Lepisosteus oculatus: one gene and its partners. The protein of the gene in region 3 binds, or shares a complex with, the protein of the main gene of each other region. Links are inferred from orthologs where the notes say so. Each region holds a gene or a part of one and is shown on either strand. Other genes may lie near its edges.

Region 1 (8,039 bases), on a different chromosome or scaffold from region 3:
ACTTACAGCCACAGACAGAAAAACCTAAAATCTAATTTTAATTTAATTACATTGGCCTTCCTATGTCATGGGTTTTGCAATGTCCTCACAGCCTCCTGTCCCAGAGCAAGCATTCCCCGTGGATGAAAGCTGTTAGCTCGGTTCCAGAGTCCAGCCTTGCCTGATCCCTCTTCACCGGAGAGGGGATGAGAAACATTCCCCTGCAACGAATCAGAGCCACTCGCCAGATTTTTCCATTTCAATCCATAATTAATGATTTCCTATCAAGACACTTAACAAAACAGGATGCCTATAGCATTAACAATTAATAAACTATTAATGTGACAGTTTCATGTTTTTTCATGACAGTTCAAGTTAAAAGCTCACGTTTTAACATGATAAATACTATTGTTTTTTACCAGTTCCTATTTTTGAAAGCCAGCAACTGAGGGGTACTGCCGTAACCTACATGAAGAATATGCTGTACTGTGAAAAATTCGAACATTATCAAAGTATCTCTAACGATATATATATATAAAATATTTCATGGAGGTGCAATATAAATTAAATCATAGCGTAAACTAAGGCAAAACTTGTCCATTTGAAATATTAAATGGCAATTGAAAGGTCAGAGCTTAATGTGGAAATGTCATTTCCACGTGGAATAGTAGGAGAAGGTGGAAATATCACACAGTACATAAGTATAAAAATCGTCTCATGACATGCATCTAGACTGACCATCAGACACAGTGGCATTTACCTTGAGATCTTAACATTCTGAAAGCAGCTCAGCATGACAGTGTGCCGGCAGTCAGGACTCTAATCAGTTTCTAAGAAACTGGCCTCTCATTTGATTTGAGAAATAGGTGCTTGCAATTAGTCAAACAAGAATAAGGTACATGAATAATCAGAACTCAATGCAAACTCATGTGTCGCTTTTTCATGTATTCAGTGTGGCTGTGCAGAAAGTACAATAGAGAACCCACATTCCATTGTCTAATCTTTATATGCAGCACAAACACTGTGGCTTTACTGAGCTTTGTGTAGCCTATGTAGTGCACAAAACAGTGCTTTTTGGTCTTGAACAGCTTTCAGGGGTAAGACAGCTCTTCATTCTGCACAGTTCGGGCTCCTAAGGGTATAGGCTGCCTATGACTGCCTGAGGGTGTCTTAGCATAAACAGACATTGATGGATGGAGGCACCTTCTCTGGTAAGGTTGGAGGGAGTAGCTACATCAGCACGTGGGCTACAAGGGTAAATTCAAAGGAAAAGAGTGAAATAAGCAGCTTTTATGCAGTAGAGTCTCTTTCTTCATTTATTCTGTAGAATATGTTTAGATGATGTTCACTCTGCAGTCTGTGATAAAGTGGTCTAGCCACAGACACAACACCAAGGAAACAGCCTCTCGGCTTCAAGCATGAGAGAGTTTTGCCAGAATCCTACAAGGGGAGCGATGTGAGAGATTCCTCGTCTAGCATCAGGGTTCCTGGAGCTCGACATTACCTTGTGTCCTAAATTCCTGGCAACAGTGCAGGAGGGACCTCTTTTCCCATGCCTAAGCAAGAGCTGTGTGTTTGGAGGGCGTGTGTTGGCGCAACTGAGTGACGCAGGGGTCTTGCCCAGGGTGTCACCATGGGGTCCCTGTTGAGGCTTCTGGAGCACAGCTCTGTGGGAAACCAGCTTCTTGGGGCATCAGCTTGGACTGGAGGTCACAAGAGTGCCTCTGCCAGTGCCACTTGTGCTCCCTGCTTGCCAAAAAAGCCCTCTTTAAACCGTCCATCTGGATTCCCAGCTCCTGGAAGGCCTGGAACAAACACACAAAGCGCAGAGAGTGGGAAGGAGTTTGTGTGGGCTGATGAAGAAACCCGACTGTGTTGAAACCTGTCATTGCTATTTCACAAAGGGCTCAAAATGTGGGTAGCAGTGCAGGAAACAGCACACTTCACAGCCAGAGAATCAGAAGAGTCGACAGCTGCACTCCTTATCTTAATTTATACTCAACCAAGTTGCTCCAAACTGCCTTGGCAAGAAAAACAAACTATGCCCAGCCGCCCGTTTTCCTAATGAGGAGGTATTTCGGTAGACATTTCCACCTCCACAAAAATGATAATGAAACTCACAAACCGAGGTCAGGTGGCACCAAACAGCCAGCAGGCTCAGAAACAACAAGGCTACATTAAACCCAAGTCCGTCACTGCCGGGTCTTAACACGGCAATCACTTTACGCTAGAAGATTCTTGTCTTAATAAGCAAGTCATTTACTGTAAAACCTTATCACAATGACTGCCAAATGATTTCTTGGTAGTGCCAGGGAGTGGGAACTGTTTGAAATTCATCCCCAGACTTTTTTTTCCTGCCTCCTTCCTGACGTGAACGTTAACATCTTTTCGTCCGATGCGGGGTTGAGTACACAAACAGGACCTCCAGCCTGACCTCAGAGCAAGCTGTGGGAACCGAATTTGACTCACAGGAGAGACATGGGTGTGTGTGTGAGTGGGTGAGCAAGTGCATTCTGTACTGAAGCCTGTGGCAATACAGAGGTTACAGTAGGAGTTTCCCACTCAGAGCAGCAGGAAAGTATTTGGAGAGAAAGATATTCTCAGTTGATACAGATACACAGGGGTGCTATCTGTGTAGGGAGAGGGGGGATGCAACCAGCCCAGCACAGCTGGCCCAGGCTTGAACCCAGATCTAGAATGATTATTTTTATTCTTCTATTGACCAGACATTTATCAATCTTGGTGATATATGCTACTGTTTTGCTTGTGCTTGTATTTCGTTTGTAAACGTCACCCATCTGAAGGCAGATTTTGTCATTGTGGATAAGGGGGTGTGGGGAGGAGGGAACCCATCCCAAATGTCTTTTTCCAAATATCCCTGCCCTAAATAAATCCTTACTGCAGCCCCAGAGATGCAGATATTTTATTGTTAAAACACACAGCCTATGCAAACTTCTTTCATAATGTTTACCCATGAAGCCTCATGTGAGGTGCATGTCTTCTCATACTGCAGTAAAAAAATAATTTCAACCTTACAAGGAGAAACAACATATTCCATGTGGCACTACTTAATCCAATCCAATTATGGAAGTAATAAAAAATGCTAATAAAAGAGAGGAATTCTGCATTATGCTTTTTATATGAGTTTGTTTAGGCCTCCAGTAAGTGTTTGCGGGAACCGAAAACTTAATTCAGCTGACTGACAGTTAATGTCATACAATTATTGCAAGTATTTCAGTATTTGCAAAGTACAATGCTGTTATAGACAGTAGCTGGATTGGGCACTTAGCGCAGGACCTGAGCCATGCGGATGCCATGTTTGTGTCTTTCCTAAAACAGTTTGGATGAGTTTCCTGGACTCTTTGCAACAGCAGACAGGCATCCCGGGTGACTAACCTCCACCAGTGTCCCAGGAGCCCCGGTGGAGCAGGCTGTGGTAACTGAGTCTTCGTGGCGCTGTGAACTGACCCACGTGCAGTCCCCTCAGGTTGTGAGAACCGGTCTGCTGGCCCCTGCGATGGCCTATAATTAATGGAGCGGGACACGGGTGCACACCCCAGAGACCAATCTGTCTGCAGAGGGCCAGCCTGCTGTGGCTCTTCCTAGGACTCCAGCTCAGACTCGGAGCGAAGGTGAGCTGGGGATTTCTGTAGCTCAGAGGGGTACAAGACCGGTCTGCATTAACCCATCAAACACAACACCTCCACAGCTGCAAAAAGAAGAGCTCAAATACCACATCTGTGAAAATAAGAATATCACCACCTGTGAATCTCCCCGAGAGTGTGCTGTTTTACAATTTTCCAGATTTGTTAGACGTTGTATTTACTGTACACGTTTCATTTTTAAATATTTTCCAGGGCATTATCATGGCAAGAGCAAGGTTAATCGACAGCTCTTTAAGGACAGTTTTCAAGAGAGCGACACTTGAATCAGCACAGGAATGGGGGAGAGCAGAAATTTTTTTGTTCAATGCTAGATATGAAGTTAATTTTAATCTGTTTTGTTTTCTTCACAGCTGTATAAAGTGATGCTTCAGTAAATGTCAATGCATCTTTCTGTACTGCATTTGTTTTGGATGCAAAATATATGAAGGGATTTATATGGTGTTTTGAGTCCCATGCATCATTTCTTCAAGCAATATTGTGGAGATACGAAAAGTAAAAAAAGACATACAGATAAAAATTAAACTGTGACAGCAAAGACAAACAATATATAGCCTAAGACTGTAGCTGTAAAAAAAGGAGACCGCAAAACAGTTCACACTTCAGAGCAAAGAAGGTCAACCAAGGTTATGAAGGCTGTGGTAATTTTTCACCCAATAATACCTGAAAGCCAAGCTCTCATGATTACAAAGCCAATCAGTCATTAACACTGATACGGAATAGTGCAAGAAGGGTGCTCTTGCAGATGAGGCCCAGAGAGTGTCTGAAAGTATGCAGTAAATGTAAAGAAATTCATTTAACAAAAAGCATTTTCTTCCCACTGTGGGAGGACCAGAACATGAGCATGTGTGTGTAATTTTCAGGAGTACCCCATGTTTCCCCTGGCCTGTCCTAAGACATATTTGTTGCTTCTGGAGTCATACCTTCATAGACCACCTTGTTGGCACACCTGGAACACCACAATATAAAACAGTTCTAACATAAACAGGTCATTAATGCTCATCTTAGAGGATCCAAAAGACCTGGGACTTCCGGTAACACAGGTCACTGTGAGCACTTTTTCTTTCTTCACCTTCCTTTATTTGTATTTTATTTCCTGTTTCAAACAAATGATTGTGCTCCATTAACATGTTGTTGCCCCATTATTAAAAGCCTCTACTTCACAGCTAACTCCAGGGTGAAGGAGTGCCTCCCTCTGAGAGAACGCTATCTTGGGAACGCTCTGTGTCGCTGCTCTCCGTCTCAACCCCTTCTCTGAGGTCAGAGGTCGCACAGCTCTGGGACCACTTCACCAGGGGAGGGGCTGGGTGAGGGGACAGGGTTGTTTGGTGCTGTTAGCAAAAAGAGGCTTGCAGGGCACTGCTGGGCAAAGAAGAGATGGTATAAAAAGGAGGAGGTACAGTACAGTCTGCCAGACAGAGATCGCCTGAGGAAACAGACTTTGTTTGAAAGCTGTCACACAACCCCCTGCCATCACAATGCGCTGCTGGGCTGCTCTCCTGCTGGTGCTGATGATCACCTCAAGCCAGGCTTTGATAAGGTAACTTTTTTCAGAGTACTTGTCAGCTCATTTATGCATGCCAGAGACACAAAAATTATAAAAAAGAATGCTTGCAATGATGCTTAAGAAAAATGAACCCTGTGGCTCCCTACATCAGTAAATTCTTAAGAATTCTTAAGAAAACTTACCAGGCAATTTCTTTCCACAGACATGATGTAGTTTTACTAGTATGAATCTGTTTTACTGCTGTTTCCCACAGCTTTTGTGTTGATTTAATGTAGGCTTACAAGTTTGCTTTGAGTAACTGAAATTCGATCTATGGGGCTTTTGTCATGCTACAGTGCTACACTTTTACAAGCACATTCCCGACCTACTGTAGTAAGAACACCCCAAATGCCCTTTTCTCTCCTCTGCGATGCAAAGCACGGATTGCAATGACAATAATAATAAAACAATGATTACTATAATAATAGGGTGGCATGGTGGCACAGGGGTGAGCGGTGCTCCCTTGTAATGCTGAGGCTCTGGGTCCTGGGTTCAGATCCTGGGGTGCTGTCTGTGTGGAGTTTGTATGCTCTCCTCATGTTTCTGTGGGTTTCCTCCCACAGTCCGAAGACATACTGGTAGGCTATTCTGTTTCTTCAAAAACTGGCCCTGGTGTGAGTGTGTGCAGGTCCGTGTTTGTTTGTGTGTGTGTGTGCCCTGCGATAGACTTGAGCCCGATGCCTGCTGGGATAGGCTCTGGTTCCCCTGGGAGCCTGTATTTGATAAAGCATTTAGAACATGGATAAGCTTTGGCGCTTATCAGGAGCAGAAAAACAGGATTTGATGGGAAAAGGGAAGAGGACTTTTATGCTTCATTTTCATGTTTTAAACAGGTGTCTAGTATGACTTGATGAAGTCACACCTTCTTGATACTGTACAAAATGCAAAGGACATTGAAGTGTCACATGAAGGAGATTAGGCTCACTCAGACAGGTTTACTCTATACATGATGCAGATGACCAAGGAAATTATTTAAAACGTTTGATTTCCACTAGTATATGATATTCAAATATAATAATAATATATACATTGTTGCATATATTTTATACATCTTAGACACAAAAGTTTTCTCAACACAACATTTTCTATTGCTCTAACAATTGTTATTAATACAGCTTTGCTGTGGGTGAGAAAAAAAAACAAATGATTTAGTGAATTTTTAATTCGCACTGATCAAGGTTCAGTGATCACACGTGATCACAGTAATTTAAGGTGAACATATGAACAGCCCATAGGGAATTCTGTAGCAGCTAAACCATCACTTTTACCAATCAGATCTAATTAACCCACTGTCCGCATCATTAACATAGTCTGTTCTTCTCTACATATTAATAAGGATACAAGGTTACTTTTTGTACTACAAAAGACTGACTTGTAAGGATTAACTGTGAGCATTATCTAAACATTTTAAAACAAAATGGCTAAATTTCAATACAGGTTTACCATAGCTGTGGAGTCCTGCAGCTCAACAAATTTATTCCTGCTGACAATTAGTGCTGGAGGTGTTGATTTCAACCAGTTTAAGTACATAATATGCAGAACACAACAAGCAGAACTCAGCTGGGGTAAGGCCACTCACAGTTTTGTTCCAGTGTGTTGATTTCTGTTCGGCCTGATTCATCTCCTCTCCCGTCAGGATCTCTCTGAAAAAGATGCCCTCGATCCGGGAGACCCTGCGAGAGATGGGCGTCTCCCCAGCCCAAGTCTTTGCCGAAATGGCCCAGAAGATGGGATTTGACTCACCTCCCAGCAACGGGACCGCGCCCACCCCCCTCACCAACTACCTTGATGTGAGACCAGCAAAACCTTTTTAATGTGTACCGAGTAAAAAGTTAAAATGTGAAGAAAATGACACATTTTTAAGTCAGTGTTGGCCAGTTCTGGAACTCCACAATGTGCAAGTTGTAACTCCTCAAGACTTGGAGAAATCGCAGCCAGTTCATGAAGATCATAGCTTAATTAATAAATTGTGCACCAAAATGTTTTCAAAACCATTAACACTCTGCAGCTCCTGAGGACTACCAATCAGGTGTCCCTCCCAACACTACGGTGCTGATCTTTCAGGCCAGTGAACGTCACCTCCGACCCTCAAGAGATATTGGATCAACTGGCTGATTTTCTCCTCGGGACTTTCAAAGCTGAGGAGTTAAAGTGAGCTAGAAAACCCTGCCGGAGTGTGTATCGCCGTAGTAATTAACAACACAGGTCAGCGATGTCTAGCTGTAGCTGCAGAGTAACACAAGCCATCATGTTTTGTGTGTCACCTGTAAATCATCAATTTCCAAAACCACTGGCTTTCACCTCTTGAAATGTTGATTTACTCAATGGCGTTGATTAGATTTGAAATTAAAATCACATCTCTCAAAGACCACAGCCAGCCATTCCTAACTTAACTAAATCAAATCACAGCCACAGCTCATGTGTTCCAAGTCCGTGCGGGGTTATGGATTTATGGGTAAGCTATTAAATATGTGAATCCCCTGGACCGGAGCTGGCCATCCCTTACAGAGATGTTATAAAGGGTGCAGCTCAAGTTAAATGAGACACCAGCTTGCGCTCTTCTGTGCACAGCTCCAGTGTTTGAGGATTGGCACAGGCTTTTTTAAAAGAGATGCAGGAAAGAAGAAAAATACCATAGCGTTTGTAGTGCTTATTATCAATTATGAAGTTAATTATAAAAGTAAGACATTTCCCATAATTTCCTGTCCAAGATTGCAATATAGCCTCTCATATCCTGACACCACAGTTTACAAAGTAGGGAAAATACATTAAATTAAAGCAACAATGAGTTGTGGTTCTTTTTTATCTCCACCACAGGCAATTATGGCAATATTAGAGTGATCGTCAAATGC
Region 2 (7,747 bases), on a different chromosome or scaffold from region 3:
CTGTGGCCGTGCCGCCCGCTGTCCCTCCGGGGGTGCAGATCTCCGGACTGCCTCTCCTCTCCTCTCCTCTCCTCTCCTCTCCTCTCCCTCGCGTGTGGCCACAGGCAGCCAGGGGGAAAGGCCTTTTCTTTCCCGAAACTTGTCAGGCGGCGGTGATTTATTGAAAGGGACTTCCTGTGGTTGGCTGGCTCCTCTGCAGCTGCTCTCGCAGGCCGGAGCGCTTTTCCAGGGAGGGGGAAGAGAGCCGGAGAAGGAGCCCAGCCCGTTCTCCCTCACTGCCGGTCAGTCCAGTCCAGTCTGGCTCAGTATGGCTCAGTCCAGTCCAGTCCAGTCCAGTCTGGCTCAGTATGGCTCGGTCCAGTCCAGTCCAGTCCAGTCTGGCTCAGTATGGCTCGGTCCACTCCAGTCCAGTCCCTTCTGGCTCATTCCACAGTTCAGCCCGTTCTCCCTCACTTGCCGGTCAGTCCAGTCCAGTCTGGCTCAGCCGAGTCCGTTCTCACTGCCAGTTCAGTCCAGTCCAGTCTGGCTCAGTGTGGCTCGGTCCAGTCCAGTCCAGTCCAGTCTGGCTCTTCCCACAGTCCAGCCTGTTCTTTTTCACTGCTGGTCAGTCCAGTCCAGTCTGGCTCAGTATAGCTCAGTTCAGTCCAGTCCAGTCCAGTCTGGCTCAGTCCAGTCCGTTCCAGTCTGGCTCAGTATGGATTGGTCCAGTCCAGTCCAGTCCAGTCTGGGACAGTCCAGCCTTCTGACAGTTTACCATAGTGAATGTATCACACTCTGTGGGTTGTTTTACTGTGTTTTTTCCACAGATGTGCTGTGGGTTTAACCAGCCTTGTCTGTGCTGTGCCACAGTGCATGACCAGGAAGGCCGGGTCTGAGTCCCGTTAATGGCGGTTGTGGGTGCGAGGCCTCCTGTTCCTCGTGTACTTCCTGTCTGGTCTTAATTGGCAACTAGTTAACGAGGAACAGAGAGGGGTGGGAATAACCTCCTATGAGTCTTGCTGTTCAACTAAAGGTTTGATCAGTAATCAATCAGGATAATAATTCAAGTAGTTCAGGAGGGGAGCTGGCTGCAAAGGAACAAGTGCAGGTTTATTCCCCGCAGAAGAGCGATGAAAGGAAACACAACGTTTCGGCTGTGGAGCCTTCTTCGGGTGTGGATGGGCAGGCACTTCTAGTCTCTTCTAGTGCACTCTAACCCAACAGTCCTGTGCACCGGTCCAATCTGACCTAGCCCATTCCACTCCATCGCGGTCCCGTGCAGTCCAGTCTGGGCCAAATCAAACCCGGTTCAGCCCACTACGCTGTTCCCTAGATCTCAGTCTGACTCGGTCCGGTCCAGCCCACACCTCTCCGGACTGACGCAGGTCATCCCAGTCTAATTCCAGACCCCTCTCGCCCGTTGTGACCTCTGTGTTGAACAGCCTAGGTCTCCATTCGGACCAGTCCGGTCCAGTGCCCTGCAGTGTGACCCGCCCCAGTGCGGTCCACAACCCACAACCCGGCCGCACCAAGTTCTGCAGCGTGGGCCGGCCCAGCCCGGGACAGGCTTGAGACTGCGGAATGAGAAATAAAAGCCTTTCTCCGCGATTCCTGTCCTGGGCCTTGTTGTCCGGGCCGGAATGCTGTGACAGGGGATGATGGATGACCCGGGCCCAGAAGGGATGGGTGTTTATCCCCCCCAGTGCCACCCTGTCCCTGGTAATGGTTTCCCCCGAGCCCTGGCTTCTGGACCGTGGGGCCCAGAGAGAGAGGGCACGGCGCTCTCTAATCACGGCCCCCTCCCCAGCGCAGTCAAAACATCCCCCCGGTCCCGTTTCCTGCTGACTGCACGCTGGCACACGGGCCCTGCTGCCTGAAACGCCCACGCTGTCGACAGCCCTCGTTAGCGCCCCTTTAACGAGGTCCCCCGGCACGGCATCCCCGACCTTCCCCTTCCCTGAGCTGGCTCGGGTCTTGCTTTTTCACACCAGGGGCGGGAACTGACGTTGCGGGCCGGGGAGGAGGTGGGGGGAAGCATTTCAGTGTGGCGCGGGCTTCACACACCTTCGCCGATAGGGCCCCGCCCCGCGAAAGGTAACACCGGCATGTCGTGTTTTTCTCTGCGGGCGCGCGGCGGCGGGGGGGCGTGATCCGACTTCAGAGCGCGCTGCCAGGGCGCCTGGAGGGGCTCGGGCACGGAGGGGTGACCCCTGTTTATCTCCGCTGGCGATCTGGCCAGCCCAGGCGCTGGGAATGAGTGGCGGGGGGGATGAAAGGCGGGATCGGGCGGTCCTAGACCCAGGCTTAATAACGCAATCAGGCCGTTTCCTGTTTAGGGAAGCCCAGAGAGGCCTGTTCGGCCCCAGGGGAGGTAGGATTAGGACGTTAATGGAGCGTGAACACAGCACCGAGCAAGGGCAGAGGGAGAGTGAGGGCAGGAGGGACAGACGGGCTTCCTGAGAAACAGACGGGCCCAGAGAGGGGGGCAGTGCAGGAAAAGACAGAGGAAAACTAGCAGAGCCCAGTGAGATCGGGGTAAAAGCACAGTACAATGCAGTAGAGCCCAGTGAGATCGGGCTAAAAGCACAGTACAATGCAGTAGAGCCCAGTGAGATCGGGCTAAAAGCACAGTACAGTGCAGTAGAGCCCAGTAAGATCGGGGTAAAAGCACAGTCCAGCGCAGTACAGCCCAGTGAGATCGGGGTAAAAGCACAGTCCAGCGCAGTACAGCCCAGTGAGATCGGGGTAAAAGCACAGTCCAGCGTAGTAGAGCCCAGTGAGATCGGGGTAAAAGCACAGTACAGCGCAGAAGAGCCCAGGGAGATCGGGGTAAAAGCACAGTACAGCGCAGCAGAGCCCAGTGAGATCGGGGTAAAAGCACAGTACAGCGCAGTAGAGCCCAGTGAGATCAGGGTAAAAGCACAGTATAGCACAGTAGAGCCCAGTGAGATCAGGGTAAAAGCACAGCACAGTGCAGCAGAGCCCAGTGAGATCGGGGTAAAAGCACAGTACAGCGCAGTAGAGCCCAGTGATATCAGGGTAAAAGCACAGTATAGCACAGTAGAGCCCAGTGAGATCAGGGTAAAAGCACAGCACAGTGCAGCAGAGCCCAGTGAGATCAGGGTAAAAGCACAGTACAGTGCAGCAGAGCCCAGTGAGATCAGGGTAAAAGCACAGTACAGCGCAGTAGAGCCCGGTGAGATCAGGGTAAAAGCACAGTACGGCGCAGTAGAGCCCTGTGAGATCGGGGTAAAAGCACAGTACAGCGCAGCAGAGCCCAGTGAGATCGGGGTAAAAGCACAGTACAGTGCAGCAGAGCCCAGTGAGATCAGGGTAAAAGCACAGTACAGCGCAGTAGAGCCCGGTGAGATCAGGGTAAAAGCACAGTACGGCGCAGTAGAGCCCTGTGAGATCGGGGTAAAAGCACAGTACAGCGCAGCAGAGCCCAGTGAGATCGGGGTAAAAGCACAGTACAGTGCAGCAGAGCCCAGTGAGATCAGGGTAAAAGCACAGTACAGCGCAGTAGAGCCCGGTGAGATCAGGGTAAAAGCACAGTACAGTGCAGTAGAGCCCAGTGAGATCGGGGTAAAAGCACAGTACAGCGCAGCAGAGCCCACTGAGATCGGGGTAAAAGCACAGTACAGTGCAGCAGAGCCCAGTGAGATCAGGGTAAAAGCACACTACAGCGCAGTAGAGCCCAGTGAGATCGGGGTAAAAGCACAGTACAGTGCAGCAGAGCCCAGTGAGATCAGGGTAAAAGCACAGTACAGCGCAGTAGAGCCCGGTGAGATCAGGGTAAAAGCACAGTACGGCGCAGTAGAGCCCTGTGAGATCGGGGTAAAAGCACAGTACAGCACAGTAGAGCCCTGTGAGATCGGGGTAAAAGCACAGTACACCGCAGTAGAGCCCAGTGAGATCGGGGTAAAAGCACAGTACAGCGCAGTAGAGCCCAGTGAGATCGGGGTAAAAGCACAGTAAAGCCCAGTGAGATCAGGGTAAACGCATGCTAAAGTAATGAGTGATGTGAACCCTGAACCCATAGAAGCCTATGCAAAAATAAGCCTGCAGTCAAATTACAGGTTTCTAAATCAGGGGTCTCCAGCCCTGGTCCTGGGGATCCCCAGGGTCTAGTGCTCTCCAAGATGATACCCCAGTCAATCTGGGGTCCTGTACACTGTTCAGCGGTACAGCAGCAGGGTCTCCCACCCCAGGGTCGAACCCACGACCCCCCAGTGCCCAACGCAAGAGCGGAGAACAACTAGAGACGCTGAAAACGGGCTGCTGCTCTTTAGAAGATCAACAGCTGCCGTCTAGTGTCTCGTACTGGTATTGCACGCAGGTGCAGAGCACAGTTAACGGACACCGCGAATGTGCGGTTTATCTCGTCCCACACTCGCGCTTATTTGTGTGTACTCGATAGCTGACAAACCAGGTCGTCTCTCCCGGCCGAACTTTTAATAGAATTTATAATGTTTAAAGGGTGCAGAAAAAAAAAGAAATCGGACGAACGGAGCATTCCCTTTAAGAACTCAGTGGGGAGGCGGGACGTCCTTCCAAACGGTGATTGGGCAACCGGCGCGCCGATCGGGTTCCAGACGCAGGCGCGGTTCTCCGCTCTGATTGGTCGAGGCGGCTGTCGCCTGTGACAACCCGGAAGCCCTCCTCGCCGGGCAATGAATGAGAACCGGAAGTGCCTGCGGGTAGCGACGGTGCGAGCGGGGAAGACTCTCGTTGAACCACTGTGAATATATCTAGGTGAGCGGTATCGGTTCGTGGGTTTTATATAAATATATCTATATTTTTTTTTTTTTTTTACAAAAACGCGTTTCCCGTTAGCCGAAAAGTCAAAACAAGAGCGTCCCGGAAAGCTCTGGGGGGGAGACGAAAATCTCTTCTGTTTTGTGAACTTTAGCCTCGGCTCCTCTCCGTTAATATTTCATTTATTCTCATTTCGATTCGCTGTGCCCCTCCTGCACACAAGTCGCACCCTGCCGTATCCGTGTAGTTGTTTTCTTCCTTTCTGTGCGGCTCATGTCGCGATTTCAGTGGCGACAGACCAGTTGTCGCTGCCCGGCTCCCGGGCTGGCGGCTCGGTTCTGACTTGGCGGTCCGGGGCCGGAGAGCGCAGCTCACACCCGAGACCGCTTTCCGGGGATTTCTCGGGAATCATCTCATGACTTGGCGATGGAGGGGTTGTGATTTTTTACTTCTCCACTTTTCTACAAACAGAAAAAAACGTGTCACCGTGACATTTCCCCAGCCCTAAACGGTACGGCTCGGCTCCGTTCTGGCGAGTTCTCGGACGTCCGGACTGGACCCGAACCCGTCTGTCTGGATACGTCCGCCAGTTAGCTCTGCTAGCCGTTGAACAAATCACACCTTCCCTACCCGTCTGGGATATGTGATGCAGTCCGCGGAGAAGTCGGCGCTGCGCTCCTGCTGTGTAGCAGGATGATCCAGTCCGGGCTTTGCGCAGGCAGGGCAGCCGCGCAGTGCTGGGTCTACGTAGAGTCTGTCTGCTCATAGTGCGCAGACTTGCCCGTCTTTAAATGCGGCCCTTTCCTACGATGAGTACAACAGGAACGAGTAAGACCTGGAGCGGATCAGATTGCTGTGCAGTGGGAGTGTGATCTGTCTCTCAGGTTAACACTGCAGAAATCACTAACCCCATGTAGGGGTGTTTAAAATACCAGTATCTACAATACTGTTAGGCTTGACCCTTCCAATTAATTTATTTGGGGGCTCCCCAGTCTGGGTCGTGCGGGGCTGCTGTGTGGCCTGCAGGTTTTCAGTCCCCTTAACGACCTGCGTCGGCTCGTTAACGGCTTTAATTGGACCACTTAAACAGCCGTTCAGGCGCTGCTGTTTCTAAGAGAACTAGGAACCCCGCAGACGCAGCGTCCCCTCCTGGACCAGGAGTGGGGACCCCTGGCGGACTTTTTAAAAATTGCCCTCTGAGGGCAGTACTGTGTGGCGATCACGGACTCCCCTGGTGGAGACCCGTCGTGTACCTGGTTTAGGGCAGCTGCCCGCAGTCCGGGCCGGAGTGTTTGTTTGATAGGGCAGTCCTGCGCCCCCTGCTGGGCGTGTTGGGTGTGTCCCCAAGGCTAGTCGGTTTTATATGGGACTGCAAAGTCCAAAGGCTGTCTTGGCGAGCGTTTGGTGTCGTTTCTGGGGCTCCGCCCAACCCCGTAAAAAACACGCCCGCCTACACGGACACGGACACGGACACACACACACACGGAAACGCACTCCCAGGACGCTTTCAGGAAGCAGCGGGGTGAGATCTGCCCAGTGATGACGGGGGGGGCTGCTTTACACAAAGGGCGGCGGGGGTGTGGAGCAAGCTGCCCCAACAGCTGGTTCAGTAGTTCAGGTCTGGTCTTGTTAGACCAGGAGGACAGCTGGTCCGGTGGTTCAGGTCCGGTCCTGTCACACCAGGGGGACAGCCGGTCCGGCGGTTCAGGTCCGGTCCTGTTACACCAGGGGGACAGCCGGTCCGGCGGGTCAGGTCCAGTCCTGTTACACCAGGGGGACAGCCGGTCCTGTGGGTCAGGTCCGGTCCTGTCACACCAGGGGGACAGCCGGTCCGGCGGTTCAGGTCCGGTCCTGTCACAACAGGGGGACAGCCGGTCCGGCGGGTCAGGTCCAGTCCTGTCACAACAGGGGGACAGCCGGTCCGGCGGTTCAGGTCCGGTCCTGTTACACCAGGGGGACAGCCGGTCCGGTGGTTCAGGTCCAGTCCTGTTACAACAGGGGGATAGCCAGTCTGGCGGTTCAGGTTATGTCTCATTAGACCAGGGGGACCGTCAAAGCACTGGCCGTCCTGTCCGGCCCAGTGCTTGCTGGGACAGGCTCCGGCACTGCCCCCCCCCAGTCGCGCGCCTCCTCTGCCGCTGCCGCCCGGCTCACGTCCCGGCGCTCTCTCTCTCTCTCTCTCTCGCCGCCCCGCAGAGCTCGCTGTCCGCGTCTGAGCCGGGGCCCGGAGATGGTGGACTCCCAGTACTACCTCCCCAACGACGTCGGGATCGCGGCGCTGGACTGCGCCGAGGCCTTCCGGCTGCTGTCGCCCAGGGAGCAGCTGTACGCCCACTACGTGTCCCGGGCCGCCTGGTACGGCGGCCTGGCCGTGCTGCTGCAGACCTCGCCCGAGTCCACCCCCGTCTACGTGCTGCTGCAGCGGCTCCTGCGCCGCCAGCCCCCCGCCGAGCTGGAGGGCGTGGCCACGGCCGCGGGGCTGACCCCCGAGGAGTTCCAGGTGAGCCTGTCTCGGCGGTGCGGCTCTTCACACCCCCTCTGGCCAGAGTATTGGGATCCCCCATGAATAATGGGGTGACCAGTCCTGGTCAAGGAAGGGTCAGTGTGTCTGCAGCGGGGGTGTCCAGTCCTGGTCCAGGAGGGGGCGCTGTGTCTGCAGCAGGGCTGTCCGGTCCTGGTCCAGGAGGGGTCAGTGTGTCTGGAGCAGGGCTGTCCAGTCCTGGTCCAGGAGGGGTCAGTGTGTCTGCAGCGGGGGTGTCCAGTCCTGTTCCAGGAGGGGTCAGTGTGTCTGCAGCGGGGCTGTCCAGTCCTGGTCCAGGAGGGGTCAGTGTGTCTGCAGTGGGGGTGTCCAGTCCTGGTCCAGGAGGGGTCAGTGTGTCTGCAGTGGGTGTGTCCAGTCCTGGTCCAGGAGGGGGTGCTCTACATACCCTCAGAAAGCTTATTCTTTGACTAAATAGTTCTTTAAATGTGAAGTCTTTCGGGAAACTGTTTCTGGCTTGGTTGTGCTAAT
Region 3 (8,028 bases):
GTTCATGAGGGGTCTGGCTTCTGAGGTGAGGGAGAAGTCCACCGACCTGATGTAGGAGGAATCGGCGAGGTTCCGCGTCCCTTGAGCAAACTCGTGCGGCAGTTTAACGCCTCTGTCGACAAAGGTCCACGCAAATGTTTTCTGCAAGTCGGTGGTTCCGTTAGTCAGAGAACTGATGTGCTGAAGCGTGGTCAGAACCTTGTAGCCATCAAATACAAACGTGCAGTTTTTCGTATTTCCCTCCTTCACTATGCCAATGAACTCCTGCAGTTTTGCAGCTGTGGGTAATGAGGCCCCCAGGTAAAATGTGACTAGAGTTCCGAAAGTGTTCACAGGAGAGAACAGAGCGTTGCCGGTCTTCTGCTTCAGTAGGGTGCGGTACACCCGAAGACCAAGGCCATTCTGGAGCCCTGCAAGCACTTCGGCTTTTAGCTGGATAAGATTTTGTTTGGTCCGGTCGGGCCGTTCGTCTGGGCTGGTGTCCCCCTGAAAGGTGTTTAGTGGGTCTATAGGGGAGGGTTCAATCAAGTTCTCCTCCAGCAGCTTCTCCTTGTGAGTCTGAAGGTTCACGCAGGTGAGATTTTCCAACGCGAACAGTTTGAAGGGGTGAACATAGACACGGTTCCCCAGCGTCAGGCAAGCGCAGGAGAGAAGGAGCAAAGCCTTCAGGATTTCTTGCATCCTGTTTTCTCAGTCCCGTCTTATGAAGTAAACCTGTTCAGAAAAGTAAAATACTCTAGAAATCAGGACTTGGCCGTTGCAGAAATTCCAAAAGTACAGCTAGTTATGATGGGCCGTTTGCAACGTTATTCTACTGCCTCTTTTGAGTTTGGCCTGTGTCCATCACAGGAATGGCTTTCTCAAGAGAACTTCGCAGAACTGCTGAGCTCCTCTCTAATGTCTGATTCACATCAGCGAAAGAAAATGTGATAAAGAAGGTCAACTGCCACAGTTTAAATAGCAAACAAGTAATAATGACAAGTAAATGTTTTGATTGCTACTTAAATAAGACAAACATATATAGATACACACATACCGTATATCTATGTCTGTTGGACATACTGAAAAATAAAATTCTCAGGGCTAAAGCTGACAAAGTTTGAAAAAGGGAAAGAAAATCATGCTGGCAAATGATTACTCAAGTGACATTAAACTATATTTTGCTGTTAAAAGCAGCACGTTTCCAAAGTGTCTTTTCTATTTACCTGTGCTTGCGACAGTAGCTGTGAATAAACTCATCTATGCTGCTCCCTTTTCTCAATGCTGCATAGCCTTACTAACAGTTGCACTTAACAGTGTCTGTAATACAGCTGGAAGAAGTCCAAAGCCCATCGCTCACTGGGTTTTTATTGAAACTAAATCACGTCTGTAACATCACTGCACTGTCGTCCCGCAGAATTCAGAGCCGAATTTAAAAACGCAGTGACTAAGTGGCTTCCTTCCAGTTTACTTCTATGATCTGCTGTCAGCTGTCTCAATTTGGTCTGTGGTCCTCTTCTGAGTCCTCGCGTCTGATAATGGACTTTGCTTTTATAACAGTTACTATTTCAACTCAGTGCACCTTGCTGTTACATACAGTATGTCTTCCTACGAAGGGGCTTTGACCTTGTCTGCAGTTTTAAACCAATTATTTTTGTTCATCTCCCCACCACGTATAGGTGTTCTTATGCAGTTTGACTTTTTGATCATTTTGTTCAAGGCTACAACGTTTATAAGGTCACCGATTTAGAATGTTCTATATAAATGTAAGGTAAATTTTAATGGTATTCAAAGCTTGTAAAACCTTCATGAGCACTTTATGTTAATGTTTCATAAACCCATGTAAAGTATAAAACAAATTCATTTATAGAAAAGGAAAAAAAAACAACATGAAAGCTCACAGATGGTTCTTATAGCCCAGTTTTATGAAACATGATAAATGTTAAAAACGTACTGTATAAACATATTGATTATTTAGTGGGAAAGGTTAGTGAACTGATCTGCACTGTACTGTAGCCTGAGGAGAAATCCAATACTGTCAAGGCCTTGCAGTCACTGCACTACGGACTGCATGAAGTTCATTTACTGGAAAACTAAAGCTATTGTTTTTGAGTTACATATATATATATAAACAAATGACAGAAGTTCCAAAATTGAATTTTAAAACAAGAAGAAGGAGAATTTTTTAAAAAGTTTTTAAAGAGTGATTTATATGTATTTTATTTCTGCTTCTGAAGCCCTGCAGGTGAAGACTCCCCACAAAGCACGCAGTGCAAATTCAGGACTGCTGTCCTCTGGAAGAGGAAAGCTTGTTAATCATTGCATGAGGTGCGCATGTCAAAATCTATCTTGTACCGCAAAAATGGTTAAATATTTTTTTTCTCCTTTCTTTGGACACAAGATACGAATCTCTTTTTTATTTAATAAGCAAATGTGTAGAGTGCCACAATTCCCCTTTTGTGTGTAGAATTAAAATACACTTATATAAAATTATGATAATCAAATGGATATAAAAAAATATAATCTCTCATAACATAGTGTGATTATGAATATTAAAACAATAAAATTACACATCAAAGTGTGTTTCATATATACTGTATTACATTATATATTAGATAATAATTTTTAAAACAGTTCTAGGACAGCTTTTAAAGACTTCAGCTTCTTCTCTATGACACACAATAAACAAGCTAATCTCTCAACACTATGCTTCAAAGCAAAAAGGAATTATGTCTTTTTATTAATAAGTGCACAGTTTCTGGCAAGAATTCTATCTTTAAACAATTACTTTAAAATAACAAGGATAACTTGTTACAAATTCAATTTGATTATTGTTGAATTTTCTTAACAGTTTTTAATTAGATATTTGCAAGGGAAATTATTGTTGTGAAAATGTTTTTATTAAGATGCACTGACCTTAAATTCTGTTGCTGAGGCAGCTGCTGCTGGTTTCAGAGTTCCGTTAGTCTGGTGGTCTGTTTTTAAAGACAAGCAGCCTTGTAGTTGCTTCATGCTTTAGCCTGCCTGTTACTCATTAGCCAAGCTGGTGAATCACTGAAGCTGTGACGATCTGTTCTCAGCGCAGTTGTGCTGCTGTCCTGATGGACCAGCTCTGTGTCCTTTCTAAACTCTTTACGATAACCGTGTTGTAAGAGGGTTTTTCTGTTACACCTTGCAGGAAGCTGACTAACGCTACTGAAGATAAAAAAAAATAGGAGGAATGGGCTATTAAGCTTCTGAGCTTTCCGATGTGCGACCTCAGGATTCTTTGCACATCTTTTTTTATGTTTGTTGTTCCTCTTCTCCTGCTTTGCAGTCATCATCACGGCCTCACGTTTTGCCAAGACATCCATGTGCATCGTAATGCCATCCACTGTCAGAAAGTTGCTTATTCCTGGTGAAGCCCGCAGCCTATCCTGGAGATATAGGGGTCAAGCGAGGAAAATGCCCCGGATGGGACATCACTCCATTGCTGAACATACAGGGACAACGTAGTGACCCATTTAACCGAGTTAATTTAGCATGTTCTCGCAATATGGAACCCGAGCAGAGAGCAGAAAACATCCGAACTCCATGCAGAAGGTGCCCCAGGTTGAAATCGAACCCAGGACCAAGGACCCATGAGGCAGCAGTGCTAACAGCCACACCCCTATGGCCCTCACATCGCAATACCCCAGCTGTCGTTGCAGCGTCAGGAGAGATTCTGTGACTCAGGTGTAAAATAATCAGGATCAGTAGAACCTCTTGATATACTGCTGCCAGTCTCAGTGTGTCAGTGGGTATCCCAAAGGGAATTAATGGCTCTGTAGTGTTTTTGGACCCATTTTGATGAGAAACACAACAAATCATACAGTCCGATGTGGAAATGTATATGATGCCCCCTGAAAGAACTGTTATTATTATTAATGCTACTTTTACATTTGTTTTCACTCCTCTCCGTTATCGTTTAGATCAAGTTCTTTTAATGCACACTTTGCTATAGGTTTATTATAGACATTTTTAATATCCCCCCCAAGTTCATAAAGGCAAAAAAAGACCCTTTTTTTAGAAATGTTATGTCATTGAATGGCAACGTCACTAGATTCATGTGCTGAGGGACCTCACAGTTTTGAAGAACATGGCAGGATAACAACTGAATGAACTTCTGGATTTATTAAGTACTGTGCTTCTGTTATTAATGTTTTTTTGGTGCTTATCTGCATACTAGGAACAAAGACAAGAAGGACAGATATATACAGTAGATATATTTGAAAAGGGAAGTTTAGCTTCACACTGAAGTGTAAATTAATCTACACTCATGCAAAACATGTGGCCATACTGTAGCTATACATGTCCTGAGCAGTGATACTGCTGGTATCGCTTCAAACAGTTTGCATTGAAAAGACAGGAGGAGTTCAACAGCTGCACCATACTATGCAGTTTGTCTCTCCTGGCAGCTATACACCTGTACTAGACGACATTCCTGTCCACCGTCACTCATCCCTGTGTCTCCAAGCCGGAGTAAATTCTTTTACTCCTTTCCAGAGCCAAGATCCCCCGGGGCCGCCCGAGGGATGGGCTGGGCCTTCTGAGGCGAGTGGAACCTGTTCCTCCAGGTGTGGTCCTACAGGTACCTGCCCGGCGGCCAGGTGAAAACCAGGTGCCCCGCCACTCTTCCTGCGCAAAGCGCGTCTCCTCCGCCGAGCTACACTGTCCGCGCCAGGGTCCGAGGATGCCCTACTCTTACCAGAACTCCTTCCAGAACAAGGGCGGCGACAAGCCGGTGCAGGCTCGCCCGACCCAGTTGGACGGCAGGAGCTTCGAGGAGCTCCGCCGGGAATGCCTGCAGAAGAAACGGCTGTTTGAGGACCCGGACTTCCCTGCCCGCGACTCCTCCATCTACTACAGCGAGAGCGTACCCATCAACTTCTCATGGAAGCGACCGGGGGTAGGACACGCTTCACACTGCATAAATACAGGCTCCCGGCAGACGAGCCAACTGTTTCGGGGGTGTTTATTCGTGCTGTGTTTGCAATTAATGTTCGGGCTAAACATATTTATGTTTATGATTAATGGAGCTTCATTTTCTTGAATGAATACTGTTTATCGACGTGTAGCTGGAAACCATATACATATATACTGTAGACTTTTCTGTCAGCAGTAAACGACAGTGGAGTTTCTGTTGTTAGGTGTTTGAATTCAATTTGTTGCGATGGACATGGCGGGACGCAAAATTCACTTCTGAAATAACTTACCGAATATTGTTTTTCTCGTTACGCGGTTTCAGATGTCTCATTAAAACTTAGATCACGAATGCAATGGTGTGCGTTTCATAAAACGCTGTTTTAATATGCGTTTTGATTCGACAAATGACGGCTCTGGTGTTTTGATGGCTTATTTTCATTTTGAAACCAATATTTATTGCTTTGTTTTCAGCGGAGGTGTCCCAGTCATAAAAAAGTTAAAGTAATGCTTAATGGAGACACATTAAGTAGTGAGACAAAACCTTACTTAAACAAAAAAACACTTTAAAATACAAAAATCTAGGACTGTTGTCAGCTGCATTGCGAATTACACAAGATAATTCATTACTCAAGTGATGGATCAAGCCTGCTCTGGTAAAACGTGACAAATCTCAGAATGAAGTACGAAAACTGTCCTGCCCTTAGCGCAGCGCAGTCATCTCCAGTGTTTCACTTGCATGTTTTTGAATTTAGAGTTTTTCTTTTTGTTTTTAATCACCTTTTTACAAAATATAAAATGAGAGGTAGCGACGTATTGTGTGTAACACTCATCTGTTCTCAAAATGGGATTCAGCACCTACTATTTCACATGCGCAAAAGACGATTTCATGAAGTGCTCTGGAAAAAAGTAATTATCTGGAAACATACTTCATTTATTTAATTTGGACTGATGTCAAACACACACACATATATATATATGTATTGTTTTTATCAAACCTATTTAAAAACCTGTTCTGCCAGGGGATGTGACGCGTCTTGCGCAACACCACCAAGTGCTTTTTAATACTGCCCAATAAGAGCTTGCTGATTTCAACAAGTGGGAAAACAACGCCAGGTTTAAAATTCCAGTCATGACGACCTGTCATGTTTAATCATCTAGGAAAAAATTAAACAGAAAACACCTTGTGAATAATGAACGAAAACGCCTCGTCTTGCTCAAACTAATAAATAGCATACGGCACACAGAAGCTTACGAACTGACTCGGTCGGTTTTGTATATGATTGTAGTCCTTCCACTGCTATTTCATTTCTAGGAAAAACGTCCTATTTCATGACTTTCAGTACTACTAACATATTATTTACCAAGGGTGTGCAGAGCACAGTCCTTGACCAGGTGTAAACATGAGCTGCAGGGCCTGTACTGAACTGCAGAGAGAAGCCGCCTGAATATACTGTACTGTGTGATTCCGATCACCAGATAACTGCGGATACAGCAGCGGATCTTGCACAGCCTTTCAAACCCGAAAGCTCATTAGAATACCCACTGTAGCTAAGAAATGGGGTGTCTGTGAAGTGATGCCCTGTCCCGTGACTGCAGTGCTGGTGAGGAAGGAAGCGCGGTGGCACGCCAAGAATGTCTTTTCTGTTGACTTTGAACGGGAGAGGCGCCGAGGGCTCCTTTCACAACCCGCTGAGACTATTCTCGTGCGTGGCGTGGGAGTGTCACTTAGAGCCGGTAGCTCTGAGCTGCAAGCTGGAATGTGTTTCAAGTTCACAGCTTGTCACCTGCAGAGGAATAGTAATGGACACCAGCTGTAAATAAGAAATAAGAGAATAGTAACCTTTCACGTCAAGATGTAGTGGACCTGCAGACTGTACTTCACGATTTGCATTGGAGTAGACATGTTTTTCGCCCCACCAAATAATAGCACTCTTATCATTTATCTGTTTCCCTTAGACTGAATCTTGTGTTTTAAATTTTGTTGTTTCTACTTCTGGTTTTGATTGGAGGTGGTAATCAATATTTCCAGCACAGCACTTGGCTCAATGTGAGAGGGACCTGAAGCAGTAGGGCAATGTGCACAACTGCACAAAAGAACTTAAGAAAGGATCCTAACCAGAGGAAAACTGTTTGACCACCTTGCCAATTGGGTAGTTTGGTAGCAGAATGAAACTACAATTTCATGCAGCTATATTTTAAAAGAACTCTGAGTTTGGGCCTCCATCTCCTTGCTGGGAAGCCTGTGTCAGACACCCACAGCTCTACTTGAAGCCTTACTGGTGCTTTGAGAAGCATGAACATACAGTAACCCCCTGGACTGGAATTTCACATTTTTCAGTGTTAAACATCCCGTGCAATGTCTGCCCACTCCATGTCTAAGACTTCATCATTTCTTTGTCACTCTTTGTGTCACTCATCCTATTTTTTGAATATATGTTTGCTAGTTTGCTAGCTCTGTTGGCATATCCAGTTATTGTTGAAACTGTATAAATCGGGAAGAATTGGCCCAACCAATTCTTGATCCAAATGTTGTTTTCCACGTGGTTTTCTCTGGGAAGTGGTGTACAGTAGTTTTGTCCGGTTCTTGCCCCTTGTTTCAGCTGCATTCCAGTGGCATCCAGCACTACCAGGAATCAAACGTTTCTGGATCTTCCAGCAGAATATTTGAACACACCCTAAAAAAACACTAGTTTCTCCTCCCAACTCGTTCAAAACCTGTTTTCATGAGGCAAGAACCATCTGATTTCAAGCCTCCCAGGCACCTTCACTTTGACTCAGAGGGGTATATTCTTCGTTTAAAAGCTTGTGATGCACATTATCAGCAGAGAGTGGTGATTACTGTCTAGTGGTCTTATCGTCCTGTAAAAGACGAACTGTCAGCCTGACACCTCCCTGTGTCTTGTACAGGCTGGACTATAAAAAACATAAGATATTCAAATGGGAATGTTTTTTACCAAAGAATAAATTTGCCAGTTGATCTCCTCAAGGTCTTTGATGTAAGCTGGAATTGGAAATATTTATTTAAGGAAAATTAGTAACAAGATTACTTTTAAAGACATAATGCGCCTGAGCAAAATTTGCCACCAGTTTTCTGCAACTCACAGA

The links.
Region 1: the proteins of agt (region 3) and ren are in contact, whole or in part, in a crystal structure (PDB 6I3F), measured with the Homo sapiens proteins. The link is inferred for Lepisosteus oculatus from reciprocal best matches to the Homo sapiens genes AGT and REN. Residues at the interface, in NP_001369746.2 of Homo sapiens: Asp25, Tyr28, Ile29, His30, Pro31, Phe32, His33, Leu34, Val35, Ile36, His37, Asn38, Glu39, Lys91, Leu92, Ala95, Met96, Met99, Leu100, Phe103, Arg107, Arg148, Ala151, Ile152, Gly154, Gln353, Gln354, Asn355, Asn358, Glu391; in NP_000528.1 of Homo sapiens: Tyr81, Met82, Thr84, Gln85, Val102, Asp104, Gly106, Ser107, Asn109, Ser118, Arg119, Leu120, Tyr121, Thr122, Val125, Tyr126, Leu147, Arg148, Tyr149, Ser150, Pro181, Ala182, Leu183, Pro184, Met186, Leu187, Ala188, Glu189, Phe190, Val193.
Region 2: the proteins of agt (region 3) and dpp3 are in contact, whole or in part, in a crystal structure (PDB 5E2Q), measured with the Homo sapiens proteins. The link is inferred for Lepisosteus oculatus from reciprocal best matches to the Homo sapiens genes AGT and DPP3. Residues at the interface, in NP_001369746.2 of Homo sapiens: Asp25, Arg26, Val27, Tyr28, Ile29, His30, Pro31, Phe32; in NP_005691.2 of Homo sapiens: Phe109, Glu316, Tyr318, Glu329, Phe381, Gly385, Ile386, Pro387, Ala388, Gly389, Ile390, Asn391, Ile392, Asn394, Arg399, Val412, Leu413, Val415, Ala416, Phe443, Val447, His450, His455, Glu507, Glu508, Asn545, Arg548, Leu552, Glu555, Phe556.

What each region holds. Positions count from the first base shown.
Region 1 is NC_090700.1:38,578,487-38,586,525, forward strand, and holds the start of ren (renin), read left to right. Parts: upstream 1-5,032; 5' UTR 5,033-5,119; coding exon 5,120-5,181; intron 5,182-6,823; coding exon 6,824-6,977; intron 6,978-8,039. Other genes in the region: optc (opticin), read right to left, coding at 51-52. UniProt on the Homo sapiens protein: Renin is a highly specific endopeptidase, whose only known function is to generate angiotensin I from angiotensinogen in the plasma, initiating a cascade of reactions that produce an elevation of blood pressure and increased sodium retention by the kidney.
Region 2 is NC_090713.1:22,418,716-22,426,462, forward strand, and holds the start of dpp3 (dipeptidyl peptidase 3), read left to right. Parts: upstream 1-4,624; 5' UTR 4,625-4,734; intron 4,735-6,933; 5' UTR 6,934-6,967; coding exon 6,968-7,237; intron 7,238-7,747. UniProt on the Homo sapiens protein: Cleaves and degrades bioactive peptides, including angiotensin, Leu-enkephalin and Met-enkephalin. Also cleaves Arg-Arg-beta-naphthylamide (in vitro).
Region 3 is NC_090712.1:2,034,338-2,042,365, reverse strand, and holds the start of agt (angiotensinogen), read right to left. Parts: upstream 3,001-8,028; 5' UTR 2,896-3,000; intron 715-2,895; 5' UTR 682-714; coding exon 1-681. Other genes in the region: capn9 (calpain-9), read left to right, coding at 4,691-4,906. UniProt on the Homo sapiens protein: Essential component of the renin-angiotensin system (RAS), a potent regulator of blood pressure, body fluid and electrolyte homeostasis.